3 linked regions of the Arabidopsis thaliana genome follow. The protein of the gene in region 3 interacts with the protein of the main gene of each other region in a pairwise test. Each region holds a gene or a part of one and is shown on either strand. Other genes may lie near its edges. The genes, in order: AT2G37150, HB-2 and AT3G52050.

The links.
Region 1: the proteins of AT3G52050 (region 3) and AT2G37150 interact in a two-hybrid assay, tested with the Arabidopsis thaliana proteins (one large-scale study listed by BioGRID).
Region 2: the proteins of AT3G52050 (region 3) and HB-2 interact in a two-hybrid assay, tested with the Arabidopsis thaliana proteins (one large-scale study listed by BioGRID).

What each region holds. Positions count from the first base shown.
Region 1 is NC_003071.7:15,602,996-15,609,640, forward strand, and holds AT2G37150 (RING/U-box superfamily protein), read right to left. Parts: upstream 4,606-6,645; coding exon 4,452-4,605; exon of another isoform or gene 3,214-4,451; coding exon of another isoform or gene 3,171-3,213; exon of another isoform or gene 2,999-3,170; coding exon 2,894-2,998; intron 2,760-2,893; coding exon 2,028-2,759; intron 1,953-2,027; coding exon 1,537-1,952; intron 1,347-1,536; coding exon 1,245-1,346; intron 1,168-1,244; coding exon 1,030-1,167; intron 906-1,029; coding exon 753-905; 3' UTR 586-752; downstream 1-585. Other genes in the region: AT2G37140 (Terpenoid synthases superfamily protein), read left to right, coding at 131-334; AT2G37160 (Transducin/WD40 repeat-like superfamily protein), read left to right, coding at 6,052-6,234, 6,338-6,645.
Region 2 is NC_003075.7:9,447,460-9,451,422, reverse strand, and holds HB-2 (homeobox protein 2), read right to left. Parts: upstream 2,310-3,963; 5' UTR 2,133-2,309; coding exon 1,973-2,132; intron 1,870-1,972; coding exon 1,571-1,869; intron 1,303-1,570; coding exon 1,223-1,302; intron 1,135-1,222; coding exon 819-1,134; 3' UTR 518-818; downstream 1-517. UniProt on the Arabidopsis thaliana protein: Probable transcription factor involved in the negative regulation of cell elongation and specific cell proliferation processes such as lateral root formation and secondary growth of the vascular system.
Region 3 is NC_003074.8:19,303,054-19,310,237, forward strand, and holds AT3G52050 (5'-3' exonuclease family protein), read left to right. Parts: upstream 1-1,832; 5' UTR 1,833-2,105; coding exon 2,106-2,300; intron 2,301-2,529; coding exon 2,530-2,743; intron 2,744-2,830; coding exon 2,831-2,910; intron 2,911-3,121; coding exon 3,122-3,160; intron 3,161-3,280; coding exon 3,281-3,299; intron 3,300-4,028; coding exon 4,029-4,082; intron 4,083-4,741; coding exon 4,742-4,869; intron 4,870-4,948; coding exon 4,949-5,017; intron 5,018-5,131; coding exon 5,132-5,217; intron 5,218-5,347; coding exon 5,348-5,457; intron 5,458-5,636; coding exon 5,637-5,687; intron 5,688-5,771; coding exon 5,772-5,830; coding exon of another isoform or gene 5,831-5,878; exon of another isoform or gene 5,879-5,921; coding exon 5,922-5,966; intron 5,967-6,056; coding exon 6,057-6,131; intron 6,132-6,222; coding exon 6,223-6,345; 3' UTR 6,346-6,598; downstream 6,599-7,184. Other genes in the region: AT3G52030 (F-box family protein with WD40/YVTN repeat doamin), read left to right, coding at 174-263, 421-563, 633-717, 808-1,174; AT3G52040 (2,3-bisphosphoglycerate-dependent phosphoglycerate mutase), read right to left, coding at 1,315-1,443, 1,530-1,582, 1,659-1,749.

The sequences.
Region 1 (6,645 bases), on a different chromosome or scaffold from region 3:
ATCTTAGCTAGTCTACAAGATGTAATTGATGAGTAATAGTATCTTAGCTAGTACCTCACTAATAACGGTCGACATAAAGAGATTATCATAGACATAACATCTTTTTGTATATATGCTCCTAAACATTAAGCAGTTCAAACTATACTCAAAGGCCAACCTTAGCTATGCAGAGTGGGCACAAGGAGACATCGTGCCTACATTCGATGAGTACTTGGAGATTGGTGGTGTTGAGGTGTCAATGTATGTAACTGTTTCATGCAGTTTTCTTGGGTTGGTACAAACTGCTAGAAGAAAAAGTTATGAGTGGCTTAAATCCAGACGGCCAAGTCAGTGAACGAAGTGTACTTGAAGTCAAGGAAGATAATATCAGGCGATATCTTATCACGGGCCACTAATGCTGGAAAAATGATAGATGTGACCTACAGGACCGGTGAAGAATTCACCCATCCACAAGGAAAATTCAAGGACTATATCATCTCTTTATTTGTCAATCTTATTTCTCTTTGAAGATGAAATACCATATAGTGTGAAGTGTTGTGTAACTATTTGCATCTGTAACAAATCCAGATTTTCCAAAGAGAGCCTTTTCCAATAATTAACATATATATTAACCCTTGAGAAAGATCCTGGACTTTCTTCTATTTACAACTATTAATCACTAAGAAAACTTAATGTTATATTCTGTCACATATTTTTCTTCCTTTCGAAAGACAAATGAATATAACATGCACACATAAAAGATAACCTATAATTTATGATGAGTTCTTAGAAGCATCAGGTAAAGCAGGGGATTTGCAAATAGGGCAAGAGTTCTTCATAGACAACCATTTCTTGATGCACCTCCCATGGTAGTCATGACCACACCCCTTAACTTCCCCTAACTCTTCTTTTTCCTTGTACTCCTCCTATTTGTTTACCAATTACCACATCACCCTTAAGTTAGCCTACTTCTAACTTTATAGACACATAATGTTTCAGACAACTAAATCTTACCAGGTTGTGAAAAAAAAAAAAAAAACTAAATCTTACCAGGCAGATTGCACATTTTCTTTGCTCCTCTGTTTGATATGATGGATAATACATTGTTGCTAACAAGCAACTGGAGATTGCGCTGTCGGATAGACCAGTGTTGACACTCCCAATCCTTTCTCCAAGATCAAGGAGTTCCTGCATATATATGTCAGTACCAAAACTTTTCGTTTTGCCTATGTGAGGCTTCAAAAGATAAGTGTTTGGCTATTAACCTCATAGCTCATGTTATCGATGTCAAGCCTCATGTCTCTGTGGTGATCAAGCATGTTTCTGGATCCGTAGTATTGTGGTTGGCGATCTTCAACCATGAATTCCTATTATTACATACACCCCAAAAAATAACAGATTACAGTTCAGCATGCAGCAGAAAATGATAAGATTGCAAATCTATATCTTAATATTCGATATGCACTGTATCATATCGGCTTGATCTTTATCTTAATACTAAATGTAATTTAGACAGACTTCCACTCTAAATAATGCATCTGTAAGGGAAATATATACCTCAGATGAAAACCGTTCGTGGAGAGCAACTTCATCGAAAGGAGGCTGAAACCTCTCATAGGAACTTCTGCGTCTCCCTGGCCGATCACCGCTACGCCATGAAATGTGTGGTGGTGGCCTTAAATGCCTAGACGGATAAGTCTCAGTGACCAAATGAGACCTGTCTCCAGAAGAAGATGCTACATGTCCCGATCGCGAACCGTGTGAAGAAGATCTATAGGTGGATGTTGACCTATGAGAGAAGCGGCTGCTGCTTGTAGATAGTGTTGAAGTTCCAGGAACCCCGTGGGAAACTGTAGGGTTTCTGTTTCCGGTAAGCTCATGGTGATGATAGCCGGAAGTATTAACAGATAAGCTGTTGACAACACTTCTTGCAGGAAGGAAATTATTTGTCTCTGGACTAAAGCCATTTATATCTGCAAAGTGGGAATTAATGTGATTATTAGAAACAAAGACGATTCAGATATCGAGACAAAGTGAACTTTGCATACCTCTAAGAACTGGGGACAATCTAGCACAGTTCCAGTCTTTATTTCCGTGAGATGTCTGACCAGGAAATTGACCTGAGCCATAATGATCAACACTGTGGTGGTGTGTAGAATGAGAATCAAGGCTCAAGCTTCTTGGCAAATTATTTCTACCTAAGCTGGTCTCTGAATCAAGTGTAGGACGACTCCGGACATTCCTTGAAGAGCTCTCTCCCCTGATCGAGAGATTATTACTTCTGTAAGTTGGGTTCATAAGCCATGGCATGTAATGAGGGTCATGATCATGCGTTATTGATTTTCCCAAGTGCAATTCCGAGGGGAAATGAGTGTCTGCAGGAGTTCTGTCACCGTGATATTGGCTTGAACTACCCATTTCATAGATGGAAGAAGGACATGGTCGTTTTCTCTTTTGTGCTCCTCTCACACTTTCCATAGATTGATGATCAACATAACTAGCATTTGACCATGTCTGGCTGTTGTAGCTTGAAGAAGATGCAAATGTCACATAATTCTCATGTGGAGCAGAGAAAGTTGGAACTGTTGAATTCACGGAAGGATCATGGGACGGCCCCGAAACCCCCGGATTGTAGTGTGGTCTCTCCACACTATGACCTGAGTCAGTATAAGCATTTGGTCCTGGAGAAGAGTTCCAATGAGAAGACACTGGCATTCCTTCATTCAACATGTTTTCTGCTGGATAAACATGTGATCTGTTCTCACTGGTCCCAGATGTTGCTGAGAAAATGTGGGATGGACAATAATTAATCAGAAATATGGAACATATTACCCTAAAACTAAACATGCATCATCAACCAAATTTCAATAAATAAAAAACAGATTAAGGAACTATAGAATGAAGGACTAATTACCTTGACTCGAATATGGATGTTCTGGGTGTGTATGATTCCAGCCTTGATCATGTTCATCATCAAAAAACTGGGATGAACCAAGAAAATGTCTGTGCCCCATTAAACCTGCACAAAAATTTCTCTCACCATTCAAAATCCCAGGAAAACATCCGCAAGCTCAGAAAAAAAAAAAATCTATAATTTCCAACCAACATAGTTTACTTTCAGTCTGATAGCCAAATTTCCCAAGTAAATATATAAGAAATCAGTCCATAGTTTCAAGCTCTAGTACCATTACCTTTGTAACATGTACCTACCATATTATATACCTCAGATCTCATGATATCATAAGCAAACAAGTTTTTGTGGACTTAGGCTCTGTGCTGCAGGAAAGTTCATGATGCTTATACATGAAAAATAAACCTTAATAGTACAGATCTTTTAGTTCATAAGAAAAACTTACATAGAAGAGTTTGTCAATAACAACAGACATACTTCTTTTAAACCAAAAGAAAAGAGAGGCAGAAAACAAGCACGGTTGGGAAACTAAGAAGCCTTTGCATTTAAAGTATCACTAAGGTTCTCGACTCTCCAAACCAGAGCCATCAAAAGTGAAGAGTAATACAAGGAGTTCATCAAATTACACACTTTCAAAAAGTCTATAGAATTTACAGAAAAGTCTATAGGAAACTGATTAGGAAATAGAAGAGGATGAAAGAATAAGGCACGATGGCAAATTATCATATACTGTATCCGCATAAAAGAGCATCAGAGCAAGTTCATGCAAAATAGGTAACACTTGATATCATCTTTTCAGTTTCTATCAATGTACTACTTCTTCGTTTATATTCAAGTAAAGGCCTTGTACATGTATTTCACTAAACTTACAACCATAGATGACATGAGCAAGAAAATTACATGGAAAATCCAATAGCAGGACTTAAGCTTAAAATATTTTTCTGAACCGAAACCCTCAAAAGTGCACCTGCAGGCAAATAATCCTAGAAGGATATAGGTTTAGAAAGTCCTAACCACGAATACACTACACTACCCAAGTGATAAAGCCGTCGTGCTTGATTGATCACTGATTCATCATTTCTGCACACCTTTAAAGTAGACCAACAGGAAGCAATTAGGCCCTTGACTTCACTAATACAATGAGAACACCAAATTCTATTCCTTCTCCTCTGATCCACAAATTGAATACACTACAGTTTCCTTAGATAAACGGATTTAGTCCACAAAAGTACTAGCCTGCAAAGGCTTACTACCTCATTTACTATTTCTGCGCTCTTATTGTCTTCAAACCCACCAGCACACCTTAATAGACTCCTGAATTCGGGCTTGTGTGAAAGGATGCTTTCTTAAAATTAGCATTATGTTTCACATCATTGTGCATCCAAATCAAATGCTTGTACGTGACAGCATGTCACTCTAGAAACCATTATATGATAGATGTAGTTTGTTAGGAAGATTGAAGTTCCCCACTCATGGATACCGTACCTCAAGCATCTTCAACTGACTAAACACACTCTGGTACACATGTGATGGCAGAGACTAGTTATGGTTATTTCCTTACCCCTATGGATCAGAATAACTTCTAGATGACTTGAGTTCAAGTTCGCTTTGCTTTCCCAATCAACCAAGAAGGTCCACAACACAATCCGCAAATCAGAATACATCAAGGATAGGCCAGCCACCAATCCTAATGGGCTAACATGAGGAACTAACATCTGTTTGAAATGTGTTATCAATGCAATTTCTTTAAGAATGATGCCATAATTTCAAAGTTTCTAAAAGTTCTCAAAGAGGAAGATGAATTCTGACCTGAAACTATAGCCGTACTAGTTCTCAAATCTTCCAAACACTTGAATCACTGATTAGGCTTTTCTCCAGTTTCTCAACTACCAGAGGTTCGTGGTGGAGAAAGGTATGATAGAACTAGAAACCACCATTGCCACTAAACCTGCAGCCTGCAGGATACAAACCAGCTAAGCCTAGGTTATGCTAATACACTATATCCCAAACTAGCTTACCCGCATCGCTGAAGTAGCAGCCTGAACAACATTATCAACAGCTAACCAAAACACAAAGCTTACAACATCTCCTCTAATCACCGAGCTGGTCTCTTCTCAGTATCGGAATCTTAAAAAGCTAACAACTACGTGAAAGAGAACAAATTCGAAGTCTGAAATTATCAGAACCGACTCCGGTTAACGGACATGATCGCGATCATACCCGAAGATTGTGGGAAAAGTCACCGATGTAGCAGCAAAACCGGGAATAAACCGGATTAAACCGAAAAAAAGAAACAATCCATCATCACACAATCACAAGAGAAAAAAGGAAACAACGATCGGCTTGTTTATACATACCAACACGAAATAATCAGCTCAACGGCGAAACAACAATAATGATCGGAGAAATGAGAAACATTACCAAAGCGTTCCGGCGATGAGAAAAGAAGACCGATCGGAGAAAAGCAAAGAGACGTATGGATTCGTATAGATGACGCAACCTTTTATGAAAAAGAGGTTTTAGAGAGAGAAATATGTTTTGAAGACAAATTGCTTTCTTTTTTGGTGATGGTTGAGCGATGAAGAGTATCGGTTTATATTTAAGAAAAATCAAATTAAAGCGGTTGAGTTACGACGTTGCCGGGACATTAATCCCTTCTCTGACCAACTTCACCGGCTACCGGTAAAACCCGTTCACTGTCTTATTGTCGACTAAACAATTTATTAATTAACTATGGTTCTTCAGTAATGGGCCTATATTTTTGGACTGTACTTGGGCCTCAGCTGTACGTATCAAAAGGGTTCGAGAAACTCAGAGATTAAAGGGATCTTGACCGTTGATCGAGATGACTTTGATTTTATCCATTAATAGTCAATTTGATTGATGAGTTAAGAGGATGATTAAGAAAGCAATAAAGGAAGCGAATCGGAATCCACATTGTATTAATCTTTTTGATCCAGTAGCCATTGGCGAATCCAGGAGTATTAAAGTTCCATTTTGATTTTGGCGACGATGATGAACAGAGTTTAGAGAAATTTGCATTGAAGAAGAGAAGATTTTTGGATTTTGTGTAGTGGGAGAAGGGTAAACCCTAGCTTGGGAGGGACATGATCGGATGCTCTAAGTAGCTTGTGAATTAGAGAAAGAGCAAGTGAGCAAATATGATGAACACTTCGAATGGGATGATCTCTGGGCCTTCTTCTTCGTCAGCTTCGGCGGCGAATCCTCAGTCTCCGGGAATCAAAACGTATTTCAAGACGCCTGAAGGAAAGTACAAGCTCCACTACGAGAAGACGCATCCCTCTGGGCTTCTTCACTACACTCATGGCAAAACCGTTACTCAGGTGAAGATTTGATTCGTTTTCTTTGGTGTTTATTTTTGAATTGAAAGTTTAATCCAATCTGATTTCTTTGCACTTGTGATTGCTATTACGAAATTGCTATTAGGTTTTGTGTAAGAATATCAAATGCACATTTCATTTTTATGTTTTGAAAGTGGTTTCTGAGAATGGATTTGTGAAATTTTGGTGTCAGGTTACTCTAGCTCACCTTAAGGATAAACCTGCTCCATCGACACCAACTGGGACCTCGTCAAGTTCCACAGCTAGTAGCGGTTTCCGGTCAGCAACAGCAAGGTTATTGGGTGGTGGGAATGGTAACCGTGCGCTTAGTTTTGTTGGAGGTAATGGAGGGGCTAAAAATGTGGGTGCAAGTTCAAGGATTGGGGCCTCATTCGCTGCTTCTAGTTCTAATAC
Region 2 (3,963 bases), on a different chromosome or scaffold from region 3:
CTCTTACCTTTTTAGCAAGACAATTAGTACAAATATTACTACTTCATGGCCTAGTATATCCTAAATACGTTAAACGTATCCAATCCTATTGATCATCTAGCATTTTCAACATCTCAGAGCAGTCCAATTCAACACCATTGAAAAATCAGAGTTTTAAATTTAACATGTAGTGGGGATAAGCACTTGCGTTAACCTTTCAAACCCAAGAAGTGGCCCATAGCCTAACCTACATGTTCAATAAGGCCTAAACTTTGCCCATACTCATGTATGACATATGGTAATCTCTTTCTCACTTATAGTTGTAATGGTAATGCCAGGAACACTTGGGCCCAAAGTATAAGTTTTAAGTTTTTAAGTTTAACAAAAAAAAAAAAAAAAAAAATCCTGGAAAAACTTTTAGAAATTTCAACTATTTTTAGCCCACTATTTAATATTTTTCACATAGCCACATGAAACAATTTGGACCATTTAATTTTCTTTTGCATTTCCTACATCAATTGTACTTCTTGGTTTGTGGCTACTCGCTAGACACTATAAATATTATTGCAATAAAGTTTCTTGTGATAGTTTTGTCCAAAATATTTATTGCAACAAAACAAAACAAAATGATTTCAAAGTCATAATATCTGATAGCATTGGCTCTAAATATTTGTTGTTACTTGTTAGCATGACACATATATGTTGGTTTAAGCTAGAAAAATATTAATCTGTTTTTCTTTCTTTCTAAGAAAATACATACATGTTAACAACTACATGCATATCTGGTCCATGAAACTTAAAAAACGACCAAAATGCCCTTTGGTTGCAAGTAAAAAGACTTAGGACCTAGGACGAAGAGCGTCAAAAGTCAAGCCGTGAGATATCCTCGTCGCAGGAGCCCACGCATTGACCGGCAACGACCGGTGGTGCGCTGACGTAGCAGCCTGAGGTTGTGGTGGCGGGACCGACACGTGTTCACATGAAGGGCACATGGTCAAAGTAGTGGGTGGGCTCATGTGCATGTAGAACTGAGGAGAGAGCTTAAGTGCTCTCAATTCCGTTACTTCTTTTTGTAGCCGACGGTTCTCTTCCGTTAGATTCTCGCAGCATCTCCGTAAGAACTCGCAGTCTACCTCCGTTTGCTTCAGCTTTGTTCTGTTAAACATTTACCAAAATACCCTTATAAGAAAATAGATAAATCAGGCAAATAGAGAGATCTTTTGTTTGTGTGTGTTTTATTTACCTTGCTCGTCTGTTCTGAAACCAAACTTCCACTTGTCTTGCTCGTAACCCTAATTGTTTAGCCAATGCTTGCTTCTGCTTCTGTGAAAAAAAGTTGAAAAAAACCTTGATATCAGTCTACATTTACCAAAATGCCATTTATAAATTAATATCTGCATTTATGAGAGACCGAAACAAATAGTAGTAGTAATGTTTTTTCTTTGGTCAACATGTAACAATAGTCATTTTAATGTGAATATTTCATTAACGCGTTCTTTTTTCGTTTCCACAATTTATCATAGCCATTAATTTTCCCAGTAAAACCAAACTTTCTCGGGTGAAACAATAAGTAAAAGAAGAAAAAAATTACCGGATTGAGAGTACTGTGATCTTTGAAGGTCTCTTCAAGAATAGCAGATTGATCTTTGGAAAGTCTAAGCTTTTTCCTGGAGTTATCACCATCTTCATCGTCACTGATTCCTCTTGAGCCTTGTGGATCTGTGTCTTCTTCTCTCTCGCTTCTTTTCCCTGTAGAGCTTGAGACTGTACTGTTAGGTGAAGATACTCCAGCGTCTTCGTCGCCGTATTCCGCTGTAGACGGTGGTCTGTTCACGTCGATTCCTCGGATGAAAGTTCTTGTTTCTTTTTGTGACGAATCTGAGTTTGGAACTGCATGCATAAGATTGAAAAGTAGAGTAAAAGGTGAGACCTTTAAGGTTTTTTCCGGGGAAAAATAAAAAAAAACAGAGGAACGAAGAAAGCGATGAAGTACCTGAAGAAGTAAAACTCTCGTTCCATGAAGATCTTCTGAATAATCCAAAAGAAGAAGAAGAAGGAGTAACAGAAACAGATGGATTTGATTTGAGATTGATCTGTTTCTTTGGAAAATTCAAGCCTAAGCTTAGACCCAGATCGTCTTTCTCGAACATCATCTTCTGTTGAACTTTCTCAAGATAAGAAAAAAAAACTCTGTTTTTGCAAATAAAGTTGTCTGCTTTTCTTTTGAGAGATAGAAGATGAGAAAGTAAAGGAAGAAGAAAGGTTAATATATAGAGAGGCAGAGAGAGAGAGAGATTTTGCAATCATGAGTATGTGACTAGCTGGGGGCAAAATAGTTATTATTATTAAAGTCAAGAATAAACTATTGAAAACTTTAGTTCAATGGAAATAATTTTATAATCACAAACTTTGCTTCTTTGTCCCCCTCTATATAACTCTCTCAAACCTAAACAAATTATCAAATCTAAGAAATTGTGATAAAATAATAATTATAGTCGCATCATTAATGATTAATGTTGATACTATATTAATGTTTATGTGACATCAATTTTCTCAGTCAAAGATGATTATCAAACTATCACTAATAGATAATTTTTAGGATATTCATAAGGCGAGAACAAAATCTAATCGTAGTTATCTTATTTTGCCTTTTGTTTACTTTTTTTTTGTTTTAAACATTTGGACTTATCACTTTTCGTTTTATTTCAACCAAATTTTCTGTTGTAGGTGATTGGTTAGATCGTTGAGTCGTGAGAATATATGACCTAGTCAAACAGAAATTTAGAAATCCTCTTTGACAATTATTGGAATTAGATCTTTCATTTTTCGATATATATCACTATCTGCAACTAATAAAGCATATAAATTAGTAAGTTACCATGAACAATTGCACATCCAACAATAGTAAAATCAAATTTTTATCATTTCCATGGAATTTATCAAATTTTAACTATGATTGACTTTATTTTATGAGATTATTAAAAGTGGGAATGATAATTTGATTGCTATTGTCGAGAAAGAGTAAAAAAAATGATTACCCTTCTTGATGACTCTAAAGGCCAAAGAGTCACGCTTGTTGCACACTTTAAAAACCTTTTACTTTTAAACATTAGTGATAAAGTTAATTAAAGAAGAACTAAACAAAAACGGTTGAATTGAATTCAAACTTCTTTTTATGAAAAAATTAAAGAATTCAAACTTCTTTTCAGATTTTCTTCTTCTAACGCATGGGTCGACCGCATGAGTTTTACTTTTGTCGTTGAACCACTTAATGACCAAAAACAGTACATTGTACCAGAATATAAAATACTACTATTTAAACTTATTAATAACTTATAATGATGTTTTCTTTTTCTTTTTGTTAACTTAATAGTGATGATGTTAATGAGGATGTTGAGAGAGTATCATCATATACCATAAGTCCATAAACTTATTTGTCTGAATGATTTTTGAGTTTTATTTGGTTTTATAAAAACTGATGTTTTGTATTATGATAACTTTCATTTCTCACCTATAACAAGTGTAAAAAAAGAAAATTAATTATTATTATTAAACTAATAAAATTAATTAAAAATGTAGAATTATGTGCATGTATAATAAAATTATTAAATCATGCATTGAGATAAACATGGGTTTCATTCGACTTTTTAAAATGAATAACATCATACATTAAGCATGGTTAGATGTTTTTGTAATGCTAAATCGTTGAATAATTTGTAAATCAAATGGTTACTTGTCAAATCATATAATTATTTCATATAGACCCATTTTGGTCATAAAGGTCGATTAATGAGCATCAAAATCGATTCCTTTTATTAGTTGCAACAAGATTTTTCTTGCCTTCAAATCCTTAAAGGAGATTAATTCAGCATTGACAGTGAAGGTCCCAGTGACACGCCAAAAGAAGAAATGATTATAGAGATTGAAAAGAAATTGACGGTCACCGATTAAACGTTGAGAAAACCAAAGGCTGAAATGACATCA
Region 3 (7,184 bases):
GATATCAAGTTCCTGAGAACCTATCTGTTTCTATAGAAAGATCAACTGATATTCCATGTTACTGACAAAAGTCGGTGTGATACTTCAACATGGCTACCTAGCCCCTCTGCCCCTGTAAGGTTGTTGGCTTCTCTATCCACACTGATAAGTTGTATGTTTTCTTTTTCAACCAGTTACATTGACCCAGAAGCTGTAGTTGGATGCGAGGATGGAACAGCTCGTGTATTTGATATGTACAGTAAGACATGTTCACAGATCATTAGGTAAGCTATGTATTATGTGTCTGTTGTGTTATGGAACAACACAGTGAAACTGGAAAAGAACGGTTTTTCATTATCAAAATTGTTTACAATTTCTTTTGAGAAAGCTAAATCACAATTTTCCTATCAGATTGGTTAATAACTATGTATGTAATTGCAGGACTCAGGGTGGGCCAATAACATGCTTATCTCTAAGCGATAATCAACTATTTCTTAGTGGGTCGTCACTCGGGAGAGTAACAGTATCTGACCCTTTGATGGATCAACCAGTGGCCACTCTTAAATCCACGATAACTGCAGGAGGTAAACTCAAACTCAATGTCAGATTGCATCTCCAGTGACATTTCTTAAAGCAACCTCCATTCTCTACAGGTATACAGACAATCTGTTTTAACCAAGGCACTAATCTCGCCTTCATTGGAACAACTGGTGGATATGTTTCATGCTGGGACCTCAGGTATGTTAAAATAGTCGTCTAAGGTTTTTTTCAAAGATGCAAGTTTTAATTCACTATCTTAAGACGTTATAACCAACTATTATCTAACAGGAAAATGGATAGATTGTGGGAAAAACGAGTGAGTCCTAATGTCGTGTACTCAATACAACAGCTAAGGAATGACACATCGGTTATGGTAGCTGGTGGAATAGACGGTGTGCTGCGTATGATTGATCAGAAGAGTGGAAGGGTTTTATCTAGAGTTATAATGGACGATAAATTCTCCACAACATCAACAAGGAACAACCAAGTGGTGATAGAGAAAAGAAGAGGAAAAAGAGTTTCTCAAGACATGGAGATTGATAAAATCGAAAGGAAAGTTCGGCCTCAAATCAGTTGCATAGCAATGGGGATGAAGAAGATGGTAACGGCTCACAATGGTAAATGCATAAGTGTATGGAAGTTCAATCTCTCGTAAAGTAACAATAAACTTGTTTGTAAGTGACGAAATTGGTAACAATAGCATTATAAATGATTGATTTAAAGACAAAACCGATTGGATTGTGTAAGAGCTACAAAAGTTGAAACACTGGAAACAAAAAAAGAAGGGTTTGTTGTCTATTTGGCGGATTTCTTGGATGGCTCAGGTTGAGATTCAGCTTTGATGATATTGAGTTGACCACCTTCTTTACAAGCTGCATTAGTTGCTTTCACTTCATTGCAATGGTTTATGAATTTCGTAAGCTCCTGCTCCACACAACACCAACCAATAACTCACAATTAAAGATCCAATCGATTCAGAATTTAGGGAGATTGAAGAATATAGAAATTACCCGATCAGTGTCCATCTCTTTCGTCATCTTTGTTGGTTTCACATTTCTCTTCCCTGGAACAAGAAGATGATAAAATCTGAGAAATCAAAATCGAAAGGGATTTGTGTGAAGTAAAAAAAAAGTGAATACCTTTGCGAGTTTGAATGGATTTGCCATGGCGATTAGGAGCAATAGTCTTCCTCTTCTGTTGGCCCTTGAACTGATTGCTCTTCTGCGTCATCTTTGGATCGTCGTTTCTAGCTAGGGTTTTCTCTTCTGTCGAAGGGTTTTTGTTGTAATAGAAGAAGAAGAAGAACAACAATCAAAAGCCTATATAATGGGCTCTTAAGGCCTTTATTTATATGGGCTGATTAATTATTGGGCCCAATTTGGAGTTTTCTAAATTCAACTCTGCTAAATTTTTGGGAGGCAGAAGATTTTGTTCCGAGGAAGACACGGATACGCAGAAAGCGGTAAAATCCTCCTTCTTCGTCGTCCTTGTAAAAACCCTTTCTCATTTTTGGAAGGTTCTTTCAAAATCCTTTCTTCGATTGCTTTCGGATTCTCGCTCGCTTCTTCGATTTTTGGTTTTGATTCATGGTGAATGTGTTTCCTCCGCTAAGGTTAAACGCTCTTCTTCTTCATGACAGTACTTTCAGTGACGTCATGACGCTGCATCTGTATCATCACTCCCGTTTTCTATGGAGGAATCTCTGTTTTCCTCGGAGTGTTGGAAACTTGTGTAATCGGAACTGTTCTCTCATCTCTCCTTCCCTTGCACGCTCTGCGAAGGTGATACTTGTACTTGTATCGTTCAATTCTGAGCTATTTAGATGTGGTTTTTACTCTTGTTATGTAGTCTACATCTGAATCATGGCTCTGATTAGTTTGATATACAGATTTTCTGAATCAATTGAATGTTTCTTTCGCGACATTTCTGTTTACTATAAACTCAAAATTGATCTCTGAAGGATACTTATTATTTCGTTCTAATGTTGATATAAACATTTGTGGTACACAGTACTATTGCAGTTCCGTAGCTGTTTCTGAATTCTCAAATGAAGCAGCTAGTGGCAGCACATTGACTTCTATAAGTGAAGATGTTACGCCACAGTCGATAAAATATCCTTTCAAGTCAGAAGAAAGAGTAGCTAGTACTGCTGCTTCTTCAAATGGCAGAGTGATGCTTATTGATGGGACATCGATTATATACAGGGCTTATTATAAGCTTTTAGGTAATTCTGCTACTCATGTGTACATCAAATGTTAATTTTTTTTCCTCCCGATCTCACACTTATTGACATTTGATTGGGCATGTGCAGCAAGGTTGAATCATGGTCATCTGGCTCATGCTGATGGAAATGCGGACTGGGTTTTAACAATATTTTCATCTCTTTCTCTTGTAAGTGATATCTTGAGTATTGTTCTCCAGATGTTCATTTTTACTGTACTTAAATCTGATGGTTGAGAAAAGCTTCTTGTAGCATTAACGATGGCTGACCAAGTAATCATGGTTGCGTATAATTATGTTTCCTTAAGGCTAAAGTTTATCTTTCTTGTTATAACTTTCGCATTCGACTTCTTACCTTGTTTCATTGTGTTCTCATTTTCAGCTGATTGATGTTTTGAAATTTCTCCCATCCCATGTGGCGGTAAATTCCATTATCCATTTAACATCGCATTTCTTTATATCTGTGATGATCGAATGAAGTTCTTGTAGTTTTCTTAATGTTGGATAGCCCCTACTGACTTAATTAACTGTGTCCATGCAGGTGGTGTTCGACCATGATGGTGAGTCCTAATGTAATAGTCTTCTATAATTGGTTAAATTCATGGACGTCTATCTACTTCATGTGGTGATGTAGGAAGAATTCAGGTTTTTGGGGACTTTTAGTGTCTATAGTTAACCACTTTGAGTGTGCCTCTCAGATGATTTAAACTAATTCATTGATATAAGCCCTTATTTCAAACTCTATAGTTATGGCCTCTATACTTCCTGATTTTAATTACTCAAGTATGTGTATGATTTCCCCTTATCAATTGATGCTAATTGCTCCTCTAGTCATCTATAATTTTGATTTTCATCATCCTCTTTCAGATGAATAGATAAATAATTGTCTTCAGCTTGTTGAATGTTGTTGCCCGAAAACTTAGATTATGTTGAGTGTTGATGTTTTCAACTTCATTTGTATCATAGTGAATGGATAAAAGTTTCAGATTTCAACTTCTGGCCACTACTGAGAACATTTATTCGATAGGCCTAAGAGTAAGCAGGTGGAGATCTAGATGGTGATATATTGACCAAAATTGATTACTTAATCTTGATAATCATTACTGTACTATTTATGGAATATTCCACTAAGTTATCTAGAAAAGCTTCTAGTAATGCATAATAGTGGTAATCTGACAAATATCATGTAGTAATCATGGTTATGTCATATGTGAGGCAAGAAGATTAAATGCTTTCTGGACCTATACGTCTCTAGTTACTCTTTTTTAACAAAATAGAGCCTTTTTCAGGAGTTCCTTATGGCACTACTTCTAATTCATCTACAGGTTATCGTTCTGCAAAAGGTAAGCTCCATGTCCTTAGTCAAACTAAAGTAATTTAATTGACAGTATAAGAAGTGGTCATTTTTGCATGAGAGTTTAGTTAGTATGCTGACTCGATGGTGATGTATGTAATATCATCGCCGATGATCTCCAATTGCTATACAAGCCTTCAGTATATTGCTTCTAAATATATAAACTTGCAGTTTGAACTGATTTTCTGCTGTGTGCCTAGGAGAAATTATTCCGGAAATTATGGCTTACTTGCCAAGGATGATATTTGAAGTGAAATGCCAACTTTGTCTTCCTTTGGGTGTTTTGCTTGCCGCTTTTGGGCAGTCATAAACTTTGGTGTAGATAACAGAGGGTCGGTCATATGCGCTTCCATGGCGGTCTTTGGCTATTTGTAAAATAAACTTAGGTCATATCCAATGATGAACGTAGGTCCAGTATGCTTGATGTCTTTTGTTGTTTCCGTTCTGTACATACTGACATAGATATGCATATCCAATACTCTCTTCTTTCTACGTGATGGGTTCACTTGGCTGCTCAAACTGTAAATTTTAGGCTTTTTGGCACTCTAAACCTCGACATGATTCTCCCTTGTCTTTGCGCAGAGTGTGAAGGATTATTTTTATGCATCAGTATCAAACCTATCTTTGTTCATGTTTAAATTTTTACAGGCATGAACTTCCGTCATACTCTCTACCCAGCATATAAAAGTAATCGTCCTCCCACACCTGATACCATAGTACAAGGACTTCAATATCTCAAAGCGTCCATCAAGGCAATGTCTATAAAAGTTATAGAGGTAAATCATGCACATGATTGCCATATTTCCTTTCATTGTGATGATTTCTCACTAATGGGCAGACATTCCATGAAGACAGGTGCCAGGTGTAGAAGCTGATGATGTTATTGGAACACTGGCTATGCGAAGCATTAGTGCCGGTTTCAAAGTACTCATTTTCAGCTATTCGAGAAGTGTTCACTACTTATTGAATGCTCAGGGTCTGTTCAATTTGTCCTTTTCCTAGAAGTGGACTGATCATTTGTTTGTTACCCCTTTACAGGTCCGAGTTGTCTCTCCAGACAAAGACTTCTTTCAGATTCTTTCTCCCTCGTTGCGTCTTCTTCGACTAACACCACGCGGATCAGAGTATGAAATTCATGTTAGATGGATAATTGCCTCATTGTAGAATTTTGCGTATTATGAAACCATAGTTGCTCTTTGTATCCTGTATGTTTTTTCCACTCAGTTGTGTCAAGGCTACTGCTTCTTGTGGCAGGATGGCTTCTTTTGGAATGGAAGATTTTGCTAAAAAGTTTGGAAATTTGGAACCAGCACAATTTGTTGATATCATCGCCCTTGCTGGAGACAAGTCTGATAATATTCCAGGTTAAGCCCACTTCCTCTACCCCTCACGAAATTGTTAATTTCTGGGGATATTCCTTTCATAGCCGCATTTTGTGTATCACAGAAAAGTTGAGCAAAAGTGCACAATCTACATACAAACGTTTAGCCAAAGTGCACACAGGAAAGGGCTAAAGTGATCTAATGATGTTTGTGTGATGCAGGAGTTGATGGTATTGGGAATGTGCACGCAGTGGAACTGATATCTAGATTTGGTATTCACTGAGTCATGCTATATTCTTTGATTTCATTGATTTGCGCCCCATGTTTCCTATTACTCACTTTTATTGCATTATCAGGCACGTTGGAGAATCTGTTGCAGTCTGTGGATGAGATCAAAGAAGGAAAAATAAAGGAGGTGAGTGAACAAGTGTTGCAGAGGTTAGGCAAGCTAGTGCTTCTGTGATATGCAAGGCCTAATATTATAATCTTCCTTGTCTTTGCAACAGTCTCTAATAGCTAGTGCGGATCAAGCCATTCTTAGCAAGAAATTGGTAGGTTTTCCTGTTTTTCTTTCATACTTTCATTCATTTATTCAGTTGTTAAGTTCACAAGGTAGGGATGATGAATTGTGTTAATGGCAGGCACTGTTACGGTCTGATCTCCCAGATTACATAGTACCGTTCGACACGAAAGATCTTACTTTTAAGAAACCAGAGGTTTGTATTTGTATGACGATATACATCTACTACAATAGACTAACTGAAAACAGAAAGATTAGTAACAGAGGATAATTTGTGAAATGTACAGGACAATGGTGAGAAATTGAGTAGCCTGTTAATCGCGATTGCGGATTACGCAGAAGGATTTTCAGCTGATCCAGTCATCAGAAGAGCTTTCAGGTTGTGGGAAAAACTGGAAGCAGTGCCATGATGATATTTTATGCATCTTTTTTCTTACTCGTTTCTTTGTATTGGGTACATAAAATAGAGTAAGTTCAAGCCAAGCTTAGAAAGTTCTCCCACAAAACATTAAAGCGATACTTTCACAATCCTTTTGTAAAGCATGCTTTATTGTAACTATGGAGAATGATGAAGTTGATGCTAATTTAGAATGCTCCTCCATGGGAGGTTCCATTACATAAAACACAAGGGAGATGATAACTTCAAGCTAGCCTCTTCTGAACACATCTAAAATGCTGTCTGAAACTCTGTTCACTTTGCTAAAACAAGAATCTCTTCTGTCTTTTAGTTGAATAGGTAAACTAACGTTAATATCATTTACTATTATTAGTATCCGCTAAATTGATTATAAAAAAAGGTCAAGTTAATGCCTCATGGAGACATATGATGATGATGATCAAAGTAAATTATAAACTAAGAAGAAAATATTCGTCTCTATTGAATTAATTATGTACATTAGTGACAATAAGAACTAAAAATATTCTAAACAAATTAACAATGAAAGAAAAGAGACAAGGTACTAAACTAGTACGTAAATTAGTAGACAAACTCCTTCATTGGATCTCAAACCAAATCGAAAACCAAGGACCAAGGTAGCATTATGCTTTTGATGATGGGGTCTGAAAGTGTGTTACCACTTACCACCTTGTGACAACTTTGGAACACTGAGTATTGGTGAAACCACTACTCAAAGCTTAAGCCCGTTCGCACAGTGACCCGGCTTTGAGCTTATGAAATAATGGACTCCGGGGTTTGGTGAGCCTGACGAGATCGAGGCCTGTCTTGTGCACGGCTACTGGAGAAGTGGGG